2 linked regions of the Styela clava genome follow. The protein of the gene in region 1 interacts with the protein of each later gene in a biochemical or structural test. Links are inferred from orthologs where the notes say so. Each region holds a gene or a part of one and is shown on either strand. Other genes may lie near its edges.

What was found.
Region 2: of the proteins of cell division cycle 7-related protein kinase-like (region 1) and DNA replication licensing factor mcm4-B-like, one has a biochemical effect on the other in vitro, tested with the Homo sapiens proteins (2 studies listed by BioGRID). The link is inferred for Styela clava from reciprocal best matches to the Homo sapiens genes CDC7 and MCM4.

Annotation. Positions count from the first base shown.
Region 1 is NC_135254.1:1,872,851-1,880,752, forward strand, and holds the start of cell division cycle 7-related protein kinase-like, read right to left. Parts: upstream 3,069-7,902; 5' UTR 3,027-3,068; coding exon 2,870-3,026; intron 949-2,869; coding exon 787-948; intron 437-786; coding exon 347-436; intron 1-346. UniProt on the Homo sapiens protein: Kinase involved in initiation of DNA replication. Phosphorylates critical substrates that regulate the G1/S phase transition and initiation of DNA replication, such as MCM proteins and CLASPIN.
Region 2 is NC_135254.1:19,994,736-20,002,484, forward strand, and holds the start of DNA replication licensing factor mcm4-B-like, read right to left. Parts: upstream 3,142-7,749; 5' UTR 2,910-3,141; coding exon 2,891-2,909; intron 2,443-2,890; coding exon 2,399-2,442; intron 2,132-2,398; coding exon 2,029-2,131; intron 1,244-2,028; coding exon 1,080-1,243; intron 908-1,079; coding exon 771-907; intron 189-770; coding exon 107-188; intron 1-106. Other genes in the region: coiled-coil domain-containing protein 180-like, read right to left, coding at 4,339-4,541, 5,114-5,284, 6,804-6,960. UniProt on the Homo sapiens protein: Acts as a component of the MCM2-7 complex (MCM complex) which is the replicative helicase essential for 'once per cell cycle' DNA replication initiation and elongation in eukaryotic cells.

The DNA.
Region 1 (7,902 bases):
GTTGGGTATGGGCAGTGGCGTATCTAGGGTATGGCAGCCATGGGGCCATTTGCATTGGGTGCAAAAAGGTGAACAATTTTGATAGCCAAGTGAAATATTTCGACAAAAAAAATTCAAATTGGAAATAATTGCAACCGGTATTTTTACCTGAAGAATAACAATAATGTACAAATATCTCAATTCAACAATTCTCGTTACAATTTTTAATTAAAGAACAAAAGGTGAATTTTTAAACTTTGACATGGGCTCCATTTTATGTAGATACGTCACTTAGTATAGGAATAGTTATATGTATTAGATGTCTATAATGCAATAAATAATACAAATGTGTTGTTACAATACTCACCCCAGCCAATCCTCTTCTTGACGTCGAAATATTTCTGCACAGAAGGAACTTTAGAAACAAGTTCTATTATCGTACCAGGGTTTGTTGCATCTAGGAAGTAATGCATAAGCAAAAGTGAAAAATTTAAACTGAAATTTGTTGCGGCACGCTGGACTGCACGTTCACGTTCAAAACCGCGAGTTTATATTATTATACTCTGAAGTAAAAGAGCATTATTTTCGAGTGAAGTTGCATGTCCTCACTCAGAGGTAAATGAGACTCATCTCTGAGCAAAGTTATGGGCACTCCTCTTAGAAGTAAAGAAGACTCATCTCTGAGTAAAGTTTGGTGGACTCACTCAGATATAAATGAGACTCTTCTCTGAGTTAAGTTGCGCGAAACTACAGACGTGCCAATAGACAATCAGGAGTATTAGCTCAGAGTCAGAAAATTCAATATACCCTTCAAAACAGGTTCTTTTTCCTTCGTTTTGGTATTCAATGTCTTTTTATCGTTGAAGTCTTGAACATTGGTCTTGTTCTGTAATACGCCACGTAGTCGTCTTCGAGATGGGAATGGTGGACTTATCGATGTGAGATTGCAATTTGAATTTTCTTCATTGTCTAAAAAATAAGAAATTTGTTGGTTAAAGCTGGCTAAAGCAGTGGTTCAAACATCAAAATTTGTCAAGGCTTGTGTTATTTTGAAACCTTGCTAAAACAATTAAAAACAGTAAAAAAACATCTAAAAACACTAGAAACTTTGCTAAGACACTTAAAAACAGTGAAAAATCGTCTAAATGCACTAGAAACCTTGCTAAAAGCTTAAAAACAGTGAAAAACCGTCTAAAAACACTAAAAACCTTTCTAAATCGCTTGAAAACAGTGAAAAAACACTAGAAACCCTGCTAAAACGCTTAATAACAGTGAAAAAAACGTCTAAAAACACTAGAAACTTTGTTAAAACGCTTAATAACAGTGAAAAAAACGTCTAAAAACACTAGAAACCTTGTTAAAACGCTTAAAAGTAGTGAAAAGACATCTAAAAGCACTAGAAACCTTGCTAAAACGCTTCAAAAATAACAAGCTAACAATAGAGAGAGAGAATTCATCATTTCGTCAACCAGAAAACACATAATATAAAATATAATAATAACAAAATAAGTGAACCAAATGTTTTCGGTATGACTGGGAGTTAACGATACGATTTACGGTCATCTGAGTCAGTTACCACCCAATACAACACATGAATGAATACATAAATTGAAACAGTTTTTTTTTTATTGAACTCTCAGTTTATAGAAAACTATTTGTACTAGTTACAAAAGGTAATCTGATTAGAACGAAGATAAATTTTGGATTAGTCTGATCGGGGAATTTACTCTAAAAATGACATATTTATAACAGTAGCATAATTTAGTTTTTTTAAATTAATTTAATGATAGAAATGGCTACAAATAACAGATAGTAAGGCGAAAGCATGTTTATTTAAAAAAACATGTTGAAAATACGTGGATTGAATCGCAATCTCTAACTAAACAATAAAGAAATGTGAATATCTAAAATGAGGCAGGCAAGATCAGATCTAACAAATAGTTTTATTTAGATCCCCATCCCTGTGAAAATGTCGTGCCCCATCGTTTGAAAACCACTGGGTTAAAGACTTATTGGACACAAAGTGGACATAACGATCGTTTCAAAATTTTGTTGTTATTGTTATTTGTCCCCTTCTCCATTTTTAAAAAATTGCTTTTCTCTTCGAATACTGGACCAATTGCTTTGAAATTTTCAGTGGTTAAAGATAAAATTTTTCTCCAGAAGGCTATTACTTTTTTTTCTCGCTATGACGTCATCAAAATTATTGCCATTGGGTGGCGCTACGTGTCCATATATTTGAGCATAGCTCTCTTGTCTCAATTATAATGACATCACAGTTTTACACTCCCGTTACTCACGCTCACCGGGCTGAGCTCCATTACTGGCTCATTACATACTTATTGAGGTTTTTAAGTCTGACCACTAACATGAAATATCAGCCCAAATGCAGTTTCGATGGAGACGACTTTAAACTATAATATAAAAGCTTCGTATTTGAAAATCAAACTTTTAAACAATATTACTATATCTTATTAAGTCTGATGTAAAGTGTCGGATAGTAGAAAAAAAATTATTTTCATCAGCTGACTCATTTTTCATTTTATAATTTCATATTCTCTCTCTATCAGTACGGTATGTAATTATACCTTAAAATTTTTGATTTAATATTAGAAATTGAAATCTACCAAAAATTTCATAAGCTGAAAAGGACACAGGAGTCTTGCTGCATACTAATCAACTCGCTGTTAGTGTGCAGCAAGACTATTGAATCATTCAAGATAGTTCTTCCCTCTTGCTACAGCATCCCATCATTCAGTCATTATATGAATACGGACATAAAAGCATAGAAGAAGAATAAGTTGTTAGTCCCGCAGAAACCAAATCAACAACAAAACGGGTAAATATTAGTATTTTATCAATCACAAAATTGATAAATCTAATTAGTTACCTTCATTATTTTCTGAATGTATGGGCTTTAATACATCCAAACATTTTACAGTATCCGATCTCAGTGATGTAATGTTAGAATTGCAAATTTCAAGTTTCAATTTTTTTGATAAAAATTCACAGTTGTTCAAGGTTTCCAATAACTCGGGCTTCGACATATCTTGGATTAAATAAAATATAGAAATATATAAAATAAATATCTGAAAGCAGAAAATATTATTTTATTAATTCTGTCACTACAGTCACAATCTGCCGCCAAAATAAAGTAGGCTGGTAGTTCAGCACATACCGTATATTTTCGCACATACGCAGAGTTTAAAACACAAAAAAAAAGTTGCCAAACTAAGGGGGCGGCTTATACTCGCATAACTCAGATTGCATAAAAAAAATCGACTCATTTGCGCATGACTTTGATCACGCAACGAGATTGACATTTAGCTAACTTGCCGGTAATTCCAAAAGCTTCAAACCGCTCTAAGTTCTCACGATAAAGAACGCACACACACAATCGCTTGTGCCGGTGTGATTGTCTCATCATACAGCTGATGGCTCGTACAGTCTGTGATTGGTTGTTAAACACGTGACGCTCGTACAGTCTGATTGGCGTCGATTTACGGCCAGCGTTTCGTGGTGAAACGTTATCATTTAGTGCACTATCGGGTACAACGCAAGTAACGGCGCCCTCATTTTGATCACCTTTACGATATGTTATCCTTTTCAGTTGCCCTGATAAAGACTGTTATCTCCGTTATAATTGAAATATTTACCGTTACATATGCATGACATCGCTTACGCTGTTGAGGTGATGACACAATATTTAAAATTAAATGATAAATAAAATTATTCAAATCGCAGTACGGAGCAACATCGAAATAGTGGAGCTTGTAAATATGTCACAAAACGACATTCATTCTACGACGTTTGAAAATCCTTTTAATAGCAACTTCCGAATCAGCGATTTATAAGAATGTGTTAATACAACATGCGATTTGAAAGAAATTGTTTTATGCTGATCCCTTCTGATTTATCCCTTCATTAATACAAATCACCGCGCATTGAAAAGCAATATAGACGTTATTAACATAAATTTACAAGTAAGAATCAGGTAGAATAATACTCACAGTCACAGCATTAATTCTTAACAATAAAACTGTAATTTCAATTATTTTGAACAACCATTTAACTGAAAAGTTGAAATAACATATGAATATGGTGTGATAAATATTGCTGTACGTCCATGGGTTAGGCAACAGCTGTGTTTTCCGTTTTTTTCCTGAATCAGCAAAACGGAAGGGTCATAAATCAATTACGTTATCTCGTGGTAGGGTTTTCTTTCTGAAGTGCCGATATCGGGCAGGAAGTGCTTCCCACGTTTTTGTTTTTAAAGGATTAACACAAATAACAGCAGGTATACAAAGTCAATTAAATAATCGGCAGACACTTTGGCATACATTATAAAATATATCAACCCATATATGAAGCTTACACAAATCATGTTTGAGAAGACTTGCGAAAAATAACCAAATTTATTGCCGTTGCCGCTCAGGATATCTCGACTACGTTAATATAAAATAAGGATTGTAAAATATTTTCAATCAAAAATGTTGTCATGTCATACATTCGGTACTTCAAGTCGGCGCTGATTTAATTCCTTTTATGTTGACAGTAATCCGCAAAGTGCTGTCTTCCATTACGATTTGTAGAAACGGCGTATATGCGAATTTTTATAAATTCACTATTTTGAAGCTGGTATTAGGGAGTCGGCTTATTCGCGAGATAGGCGTAATTTCGAGAAAATACGGTAACTAAAATTTCATGTTTTTTTTGCTAAAACATCACAAATGCTACAGACAAATTTTTTTCGTCTTCTGTTAATCTGAGTATGATTACCGTAAGATTCCAATGGTGCGTTTTTAGATTGCGCTTTCTTTTTGTCTATTGTGCAGTGCTGGATTGCTAAGGCAATATGAAGGCCCAGACTGTCTCATAAACGAGGGGTTTGTAATCATTGTTATAATTGATGTCTTCCAATGTGGAGGGGCTATTCTTGGAATCTGGACAGATATGTATGTATGTGCTGTACTGGATGACAACACACAAAACAAGATGGAAATTCACAAAATTTTCAAAAGCTGAAACATGAGACATAACATAAGTAAGTTAGTCAGCCAGAAGTGTATTTTTTACCAAAATAAAAATACACGGAAAAAAAACATGATAACGGTGACCTGTAAAAACCAATGTCAGAATGTTGGTTGTCAATCAGTCACACCAGTAATAAAAAGTATAACTTTGATACAGCTGTACGGGTTGAATAGAAAGTATCATTTAGCAAACCAATCAAGTTTCACATGTTATTCGAAATACACAATATAGCAATATATACACTTAACCGTACATATTAGGTTTGCAATAATTGCATATCTCAATACCAGAATACTCTGATACTGTAATACTAGAAAAATTAAAACTTTCTGACATTCCTGGAGACCATTGAATCAAAAAGCAGTCTGCTAATAAACCATTGCCAACCAGTCTAAATAATTATTCAACACAACGACATGAACAAACAGACAAAATCTAACATTACAGCTATTACTCTAATTCCGTTTTGCCGTTATCACAGGCAATTATGCGCTGTTCTAATTGTCTAATACAAGACTGTCTGACAGTCTTAACCGCTGCCTGGTCCTGGCCGTATCGTTGAATGTTCCTAGAAAACACCTGTCTTCCTAATTCTGTAATTACGACTTTGGTTGGCCAGAAAATAAGTACTGTATCGTCGCGAATAATTAGAAACGGAATTATTAACGCCCATTCATAAACTAACCGCCATAAACAACGCTTTCAAAGATCTTCGCGAACGATAAATTTAAATCTCCCACAAAGTCGTTGAAATAATAAATAAACCTAATAAATAATCTTTTCATAAATCTCTTTCTCCACCTCGCGACAATTCAAAGTTTTTTGCTTCAATGACAAATTTGCGATGTCCCGCAGCGAAAAGCGTTTGATTTGCAAAACTTGATTGATTTGCTGCTGTCAATGAATTTAAAGTGTAATTCATTTGTGTGTGAGGGTATTCGTTTTATATCCTTTTAGGCTATTGAGATCGCCTATCAAAATTAATCGTAATTCGTAGTCAGATTAGGATTTATCCAAAAACAAAGATAAGGGCATTTGATCCGAACATGTGTTATCTGACGAGACCCTGATAGAATTACAACTTTTGTTATGGTTGCATTTAGATATGCGACTTAATCACAACGTAATCAAGAATCGCTTGTTTTTGTTTTCGCAATCTGCTAATTTGTCACGATAGGCGCTCACACATTATCGCTAAGTAAGTCAGTTTGAGTTTTCCATTACATACATTCGTAAATTGCTATGTATATGGGACATATTACTCAACGATAGTTGAAAGATGAAGTAGATTTAAGTAAATTAGAAAGGAGAAAATGTGTAGTTCGGGAGTATATTGGCCGCTTATTTCTGAATAAATAAGATATTGGTATACGCAATATCTTATACTGTTTGGCAATGCTTACTACCAAATTAGTAAACGAATATTCATTACAAATTTAGCTAATTCCAACTAAAATGAGGTTACGCCGATACGGTTGAATGGCGATCACATATTCTAAGTTTCAATAATTCCTGAAGAGTTGAAATTGGCCGTACAGTTCTTTAATTTGTATAAATCAATTTTATAAATCGATGTGATGTGTTTATACCCTGAGGGCATAAAGTGAGAACGAAGGGAAATGACGTAAAATTGATCAGGCAGTCACGTGCTTTCTTTGTCAAATTGAACGTTCGAGAAAAAAGAAACACTGATCACGTGCGTTGGTACAGCCAATCAGGACTCAACGTTGTCAAGGAAAGCCATCGGCTGACGTCGCTGGTTACAGACGGGTGTCTTCGCTATGGAGGGTGGCTGCGCTGCTTTTCGGCAGAATTTACTAATATCGAGCAGGTTTGCTCCTGGTAGCGATGACGATGGGATTTTTGGAAGTGACTAAGTTTATTAGAATTGTTAGGGCTTATGAACAGGTAAAGTTTGTACAGTTTCTCTTGCTACTATTCCGTACTTAATTTCACAGCTCAAATCGCAGAATCAAGAAATTAAAGATGGCGGAAAACTTGTCAAGATGCTGAACTACGATTGGAAAACGTGGTACTCGACTAACCAGTTTGTTATAAAGCAGCAGGATTAACTGGACTGTGATTGTATGTTTTTTACACACTGTCTCCGTATTTTGCCTAGATTTTTTTTCGTCTTTTAATTTTGTATTACACTGTAATTTCATTCGTCATTAGCTTGTGAATATAACAGTTGAAAAAGATACTTTTGATACGTAAATGATAAATAGCAATGGGTGCTGCAAAAGGTGGCAGAAATTGAAATAAAAGGTGAATGGTTCACGACATTTGCCACTTTTATTCTCCCGCAATGACGAGGCGAAGCAAGTGGTTTTTCCTGATCAATCTTCAAGAGTAGAAAATGAAACGGCCTTAAAACTTTTTCTGAAGTCCGAAAGTGGTTATGAGGCGTTGGTTTCGGTGTATAATTGACCCGATTAGGTCGTGGTTACAGGGTCCGAGCTGACCTTTGGGCAAACTCGGCGAAAGCCGCGCGATTTTGGTGCACTGGTTTTGGGTTTAAAAGGGAATGCCCATCCTTGACCAATGGCACTGGAGAAGATCCTTTCGCGACAGGAAAGTGCTGAAGCATGTATGCATCGAATCAATCCTCTGGCAGAGAAATAGTTATCATTCGCCATGCCCTTATTAAGGTACGATTTATTGCATAGTATGGAGGTATGTTTAATACGAATGTAACAGTTTTTAAAGTCGAGTCACACAACATCGCGGTGCCTTCAATTTACTTGAGTTATTCTGCCGGCGGCGTGTTAGGTTGCGGGATCCTTTCCACACTGCCTCAAATTTTTTCAGGTTTTTTTACACGCCAGAAAAGGCAAAAATAAAACTTGAATCTCTTTCATCATTCAGTGACAAATAGGACCTGCGTCC
Region 2 (7,749 bases), about 18 Mb from region 1:
ACTTGCCCAAAGGCATAGAGCAAGAAAAGGTGGTTAGTCTCTTGTAAAACCAAGCATGAGTTGATTAACTCATTTATTTGATTTATTATTTAGTAATAAAGTAAACCTCTTCCAGTTTCTGTTGATAAAGTGGTTGGTTGACATCCATGTCATCCACTTCCATTCCGTCTGCATTTGGATCAATGAATCTGAAATAAATAAGATAATTAGAAGATGTTTTCATGTTTGTTAGTCTAATGCGTTTTCAATTCTCTTAATATTATCAAGAGATTTATAATAATTTATTATTCGGTTAATAAGCTTTACTATGAAACAAGCCTTATTAAATGTAAATGAAAGAAACAAATTTTTAATACAGTTCATTAATCTGGTACGTGGGAGTAATTCCAATCGCTTTTTGTTGCAAAGCCTATACCCGGGTGCAATTTATCATCTATGTCTATGACGTTACAGCTAGCTTGTGCGAAGCGAACAACGCATGTCATAAGCTTAATAACCAACATTTTTGTGCCTGCAACTACTACAAAGCATATGTTGAAAAAAGGTGAGGCCCATGGTTTCATCTAGTTATTTGTATCTGGCCCTTTCGTATAAAAGATTGCACACCCCCGGCATAGAGAATTGGGGTAAAGATTCAAAGAATTCCAAGGTTATACACACATTTCAAAAACATTTACTAAAGTGAAATCCTCATTTTAGACTTTAGACACAATGTGATAAAATCATCATTTGATAACGATAACTGCTCCATAAAAATTATGATTTAGTACCTGGTAACAAATTGACTGAATTTTTCCTTGCAATGACTGACAACAACATCCGTTCCCCATATTACAAGTTGGTTACTGACTGCAGGTTGATCAGCAGCATCAGATATGTCTGCATTTTGCGGCGCTGCATCAGACGACTGAAAAATTAAATAAAGATAGTTGGAAATGGCCAATAGACCAAAAAACCTGTTTTGGAGGGAAAGTTCCGAAGAACACTCCATTCTAGTATCTGTCATAAAAGCAAAACAACACAACATTTTGTTGATAGGCGAGAGTTTGCAGTTCTGATGTCAATTGTAAGATTATCACCTGTTGGGCATCTGGGTTCACATTAACAGTTCGAACTTTACTGCTGCTTCCTAGATCAGGTCTCTGTCGTACTGGTGTAGCAGCTCCACGAGGAGTTCGACCAGGAGTACGAGCACCAGGTGTGCCATACAACAATGGAGAAGACAAATTCAGCTCACTGGCACCTGTGCAACAGTCGGCAGATTAGTATTTTGTAGTTAGTAATTATAAAAGCAGTGAAGGATTATCCTATTTTTATCCCAGAGTAACATATGGGAAACTAGTCCATGCTGAGTACGAGAAGAGCTAATCAGTCAATCATTCCAAATGCATGAACTCTGATGGTGGAGAAAGTCAAAAATGGCTAGCTGTGATGGGAGCCAGTCTATTACTACAGGAAGTTCAGTGAAACTCTCGCACATAATCTGAAACAAATAACTGGTTAACTATTCCCATACCTGACATGGACTGGTTATTGGACGAGAAACTGTGATTCACCAGATGGATTGAAACATCCTACTAGCGGCTTTCTTTCTCTTCTTCAGGATAAATATGAAAATCCTATGCTTATCCGGAACAGACTCAAACAGACTCAAACATGAATAGGAATTAGGATTGACATATTTATCCAGTGAGAGAGGAAAGCCGATAATATGGCTTAATGATATAGCCAACCACGTTATCTCGTCCAGTTAACAGTCCATGTCGGGTATGGGATTAAATAGCCAGGTATTTGTTTTAGGAAGCATGAACTAGATGCCGGAGGAAGCCATAAGCGACCAGCGGTTATGTGAAGAGGGGGCGATGAGGGGCCAGCATTCCCCTTGCGTATTACCATCCCCACATCAAATTCGAACCTGCGAACCCAAGCAGAGTAATTAGAGGTGTGTAGTGGCGAGTGTATTCCTAACGCTTAGAACAATGCACTAGTTAGTCACGCACTGCCAATTTTTTGAAATTTATACATTACCCAGAATAGATCCAGGACTTGGCAATATTGCATCTCTAGAAACATCCAATAACCTGGCAGGTGATGTTGGTAAGAGGTGAGGATCACTACTTCCTGATGGAACCTGACAATGAAGAAAACAAACATAGGCTATTATTCTCAAAGACTGGGCAAGAATTGATAATGCATTATCAATTGAAATCAATGGCAGTGAAAAATTGCTATATTAATTCTATTTGCAGATTTGAGCTCTTTTCAAGATAAACCCAATAGGGCCTACTGGTATCACTTTGCTGAAAAATACAAAAATAACAGTAAATCCAGCTATAATTCTGTAAATGGAACACAGATTGACTAACAATATAAGACTGTAAGACTAAAAGAAACACACCTGTGGTCGACCAGGAGACTTGGGATTTCTTCTTCTTCTTGAAGCTAAAGTAAAGAAAATAGGGCCACATATTACCATACGCTCTGTATTCAGATATTACATTACAGCATTAATGTATTACAGTATTATTGCCCTAGGCCAGTAGGCTAGTTTGGCAAATGTCAAGAAATTGTGAGACTGTCCTATAGGGCAGTTGAAAAAGTGAAACAGACACTCAATTTTTTTATGTTCATAGACCAGAAGATCTGAACACAGGAACATGAAACAATCTCCAGATCTAGCATTGGTCTGTTGGTGTATATTTTTAAATTTGCTTCACATACTGACATACGGTAAATAAATCACATCCTCTATTTTTAGATTTAAGGTACGACGCTTTAAAATATTTTGGCAATCAGTTTCGCAAATGGTTGAATAAATAGCATTTACAGATTTAAGCCTGGCAATACACAGTGAAATCTTAGCAAAACGTATTATAAACTTAATACTCACGTGTCGATCTATCAGACATGGTTTATTCCCCGATAAACGTCAAGAACATCAAAAATTAGGCAAAAGATGACTGAGTTGGTGTCAGGCAACCTGGTAAACAAACTGGCTTATTGTCGAAGCCTATGCAAATGTTTAGCTTTCCCGCCACACACACATGTTCACCGGTCAATAAGAGGAGTGCCAGATCGAAGTTGTTTAGCTCCTGGTGGCGCAGCGCTGCATGTGGTGCGTCTGCTCAATGACATCGATCTGCTCAAAACTTTTCCAAGCAGGGATAAATATGGGATGGATAGATAGTTAGAACGTTTGAAAACTTAATATCACACACAAATTAAAAATAGAGAATTCTGAAACGCGAGCCAAACTTTTAAAAACGTTCGAAACATGAAGTTGATCATGTGCCCGCCCACCAGCACACACATAAAGAAAAATTACAAAAAACACAAACCTAGTTAAACGCGGCTTTGGCCAGATCTAAACTACCAATGAACTTTTGGACTGTCATACTTAAATATGGATTAAAAGTGTAGAGAGCGAGAGGAAAAATCGCCTGGTTTCCATTTTAGATGTGATATAATAATATGGATAAGCAGTAATTTGTTGTATTGCCCGATTGTAAATTTTCCCCAATGGCTCTGTTCTTACATTTAATTGGGTCAGAGTGACCAAAATAAATTGTTTGATTGATTCTATTTATTGATATCATTTTAAATTGTGTAGAAGTATTTGCACGATTTTAAATCGCGAGTTCAATCAGTCCATCATTTCATTTCGTTATTCCGACATAAATCGTTGCGATCATTAAAAGTTATGGCCGCTTTTTTTGATATCTCTGTATTCTGTTTACTTTTTGTGTTGTTTTGATTCATGTTAGAGAACTGAAATACAATGACTGAACGAATTTAGTGTTGTGTAACTACTTAAGTACCTCTGATTCAGCGATGTTTTGATTACTGCAACTAAACAATTTCTAGGACAGTAGTTCTCAGACTTCTATGGTTCGGGTGTCGCTGCTCGATAACCATTCCTGGTTCCCCGCGACTTCCCTTCCCCAGTAAAAATGTGTTTTCAGGAAATGGGAATGGGAAAAAATAAACTTGACTATGACTGCGACACCATTACAAAGATCCACCGAACCTGTGGCAGCACGCTCTTCTGTAAAATACCTACTTTGGCCTTTGGAGCCATTTCAACAGTTATTTTAAAGGGATTTTAGGACCTTTTATCCGAAAAGTGATGATGCGTTCGTCAAAACTACGAGTCACGACTATTAAGTCCAAGGCGTGTGCGCTTTTATTCACAACTGGAATATTTCTGGTAGAACGCACCTCATTCACTCCTTAAATAATATACACTATGAAACTAAAACTTTATTACAAACAGTGGAAAATACAAGGGATATATATACATCTACATCCTATAACAACTTAATCTTTTGAATTTATCAATCACGTATAAAGCTGTTGGACGTTTCGAACAGACTGTCGCCAATTTTCTGCCCATCTCTCTTCACTGAGTGTTCTTAATTCTTCCTGTTCTTTAATTTCACCCATGACTGAATTATAGGCTTCAGTGAAGGCTGTAAGGCATTTATCTCTCGTGGTTACGGATGATGTGTGTGAAAGCGTCGTCTTGTTGCAATTTATGTCTTCTGTAAATTTGAGAAAATGATTGAAGTTTAGATTCATGCCATTCAGGGTAAGTTAATACTAGAGAAGAAACACACTTGCACTTGCACCTCTAATCTGTTCCTTGGGTCAGCAGGTTCAAATCGTGTGATGGATATGTGTGAGTAAGAGGATTGACTGAATCTGTTCAGAGGTAGGGTGGTGCACATAACTGGGACATGAACCAGTAGGGTATATAGCCTCAATTGATACGTTTTTACAATAGATTCTACAGACACATAAAGATTTGATCGGGACATAAACTTGCCATAGATATAATTGATTTTCTCCCCCTTGAAATAAATAGGAAAATTCTATCTCGCCCAAAAGGAAGTCCAGTTTGAGAGTAACCATAATGTGATCAGTTATTTTTGTGTAGGCATACCTAGCGAAGGAAGCCACATTGTGATGATAAGAGATCCACCAATTCATTGAACAAGATACTCCCAAACAGGGTTCACAAATGCCTCCATGAAGGGCAATAAACCTAACCCGTAACGCAATGAGTCAGTGAGTTTTAAGAAATGTTCAAATTTAGAAGACAAAATTTCAATACCTGCTACTTCAGTTAATACTTCTCCCTTTTCAAGAAGATGAGAAACTTCAAGCCCTGGCCAGACATTAGGTCCACGTGGCAAAGATGGTCTATATGAAGTGTCATGCAGATCAATACCAGCAGCTTTCTTCCTTAGTAATATACTAGTCGGTTCTTTTTTCAACTCAATTTCTAAAAAATATGAATATAAATAATTACAAAATAGGATTATCAAAAAAGACGAAACAGGTTTATCATATAGCGCAGGGGTCACCAACACGTTGCCCGCGGGCACCAAGTCGCCCGTGAAGACCATATAAGTCGCCCGCAGGTCTGTTCCAAACTGAGCTTAATAACGGCGCTTATGAGTAAGCTACATCGATTAAATTTTGTCCTGCTATTTTTGTATAAATCACACTTATATGGGAATCGGGAATGGCACTATATTAATTATTGTAGCCATCAACCTGATTTTTATTTGACCCTCAGTAATGTGACGGGTCAATTAACACTCTTCCAATTATGACATCACACTGATATCACTTACTACGAACCCGCACTTCCGCGCTTTTTCTTTTCCGTTGGTTTGTGGAGCAGCAATAATATAATTATTGATTCCAAAGAAAAATGGCAGAAAACGATGAAAAACCCACCATTTTCACGATGATTGGGGGTGGATATATTTTTACCAACATGAAAACAGCCTGCGCGTGTCTCATCTGTGGGGCGATTGTAGCGACGGCAAGCGAAAAGATATTTCACGGCTTGTCACGCAATCTACCGCGCTAACTATCCAGCGCAGTACGGACAGAAAAAGCTCGCGATTCAAATCATACAGCAATTCTATTTTACGAGACCATTGTTTCGTTCAACCTATCTTTGTGAATCAACATTTTTGACATAAACTCAGGATAGGATGGGATTTACATATTTATCCCGGGCCATCCCAACGGCAGCAAGGGGTCCAGCAATCCTCTTGCACATAACTATCCTCGCGAACCTAACGCTTAGCACACTAACGATGGCCACACAGCTGCGACTTTTTAGAAGTGTACATTGGATTGGTAGCCCGCGGCTTAATCTGTACCCAGAAAGTAGCCCTCGGCCTCGAAAAGGTTGGTGACCCCTGATATAGCGGGTCACAGCCTCTTATCCGGTTAGCAGTCCATTTCAGGAATGGGAATAGTTAATCAGTCACTTTTTTTAGATGTATGAACTTGATGGCAAAGGAAGCATTAACCAACCAGCGGATACATGAACTACCCTATGGCTGTGATGATCCCAGTAATCCCTTTTAAGCTTACAAAGCCGAACTAATCTCTAAAATTATCATCAACTTATACAGTCACATGGGGCTATTAAGTAGTTACTACACAAGTTAGATCACAAGTTATAAGTTAGATGGCTAATCCTGCCCTCTTCCCTCAATAGTAAATTCGAAATTCAACGCTAAAACCGAAAATTGTCCAATATCAAGATATTTTGAAAGACTAAATTCGCTAATTAAACATTGATGCCATTCCTGTTAACTGGATGAAAAATTGTATAAGTATCAACTTTACTAAAAAAACTGATACTTTTTTCAATAAATATTCGTATATAATGTAGAAACTAAATTTTCAATCCAACACACAAAGTGTCAAATTTAATCTGAACCAGCCACAAATCAAATTATTTACCAGTCATCAAAACATATGACAATAATTCATACTTCCTGAATTGACATCATCGATTGTGAGAGAATAATCAAACTGATCCAATAAACTTGCACAAGCCTGTCCAATATTGAGCAAAAAATGCTTTGTGACTTCATGAGCCTTTTCATTCAAATCCTTGCTGTGTTGTTGAATACCAGACAAATTTTCAGCCTAAAAACAAGAGAGCGATGCTTAATATATGGGCACGAAGACCAAAACGAAGTAGTACAGCTACCGGTACTAGTGTAGCAATCGCAAAATTTTTTATAACATTTTCGCACACAAAAAAAGAAATTCTTTGAAGCCCACAGATTCAGATGCACATACCTCTGGGGCACCGATTATAGAACATATTCCAGAGAGAACATAACGTTTGTGCAAAACGTTCTATATTACTGCAACTTTTGGGAAGAATCATACACAAACAGAGGTTCAAGTGTTAAATAAATTTTCTTTATTTTTGTAGGAGTAATTAAGAAATTTACAAGTTTTGTTTTTTTGGTTACCCTGTATATTCTAAATTATCATTTGGAGTATCATTGGAAAATAGTCTCAACAGCGGATAGTCTCAAAAGACTGAGACTGGCATCACTATATTATCACGATATTTCAGCTTGCTTTTTTATTTCTGTGGACCAAGATCTGGGATGTTTGATCTATGTTAAGGTACCTATGCCTTTGTTCGCATAGTTTAACAGTAATTTTCTAGCATTAGGAAACTTTGGATGAACTATAATATACAAATTAACGAGTATAAAAATGTCAGCACCTTCTGAATGAACTCAAAGGGTTGGGTGAAATAGAAATAAAAGGATTACAATATCTGAAACAAGGGCTTTCAACCAGTGGTGGGATTCAAATTTTTTGTTAGCCGGTTCCATCAGAAAAGTCATATGTTCTAGTCGGTTCTGTTGCCTAAAAGTCATTGACAGTAACCAGTAATGGTAACCGGTTCACTGG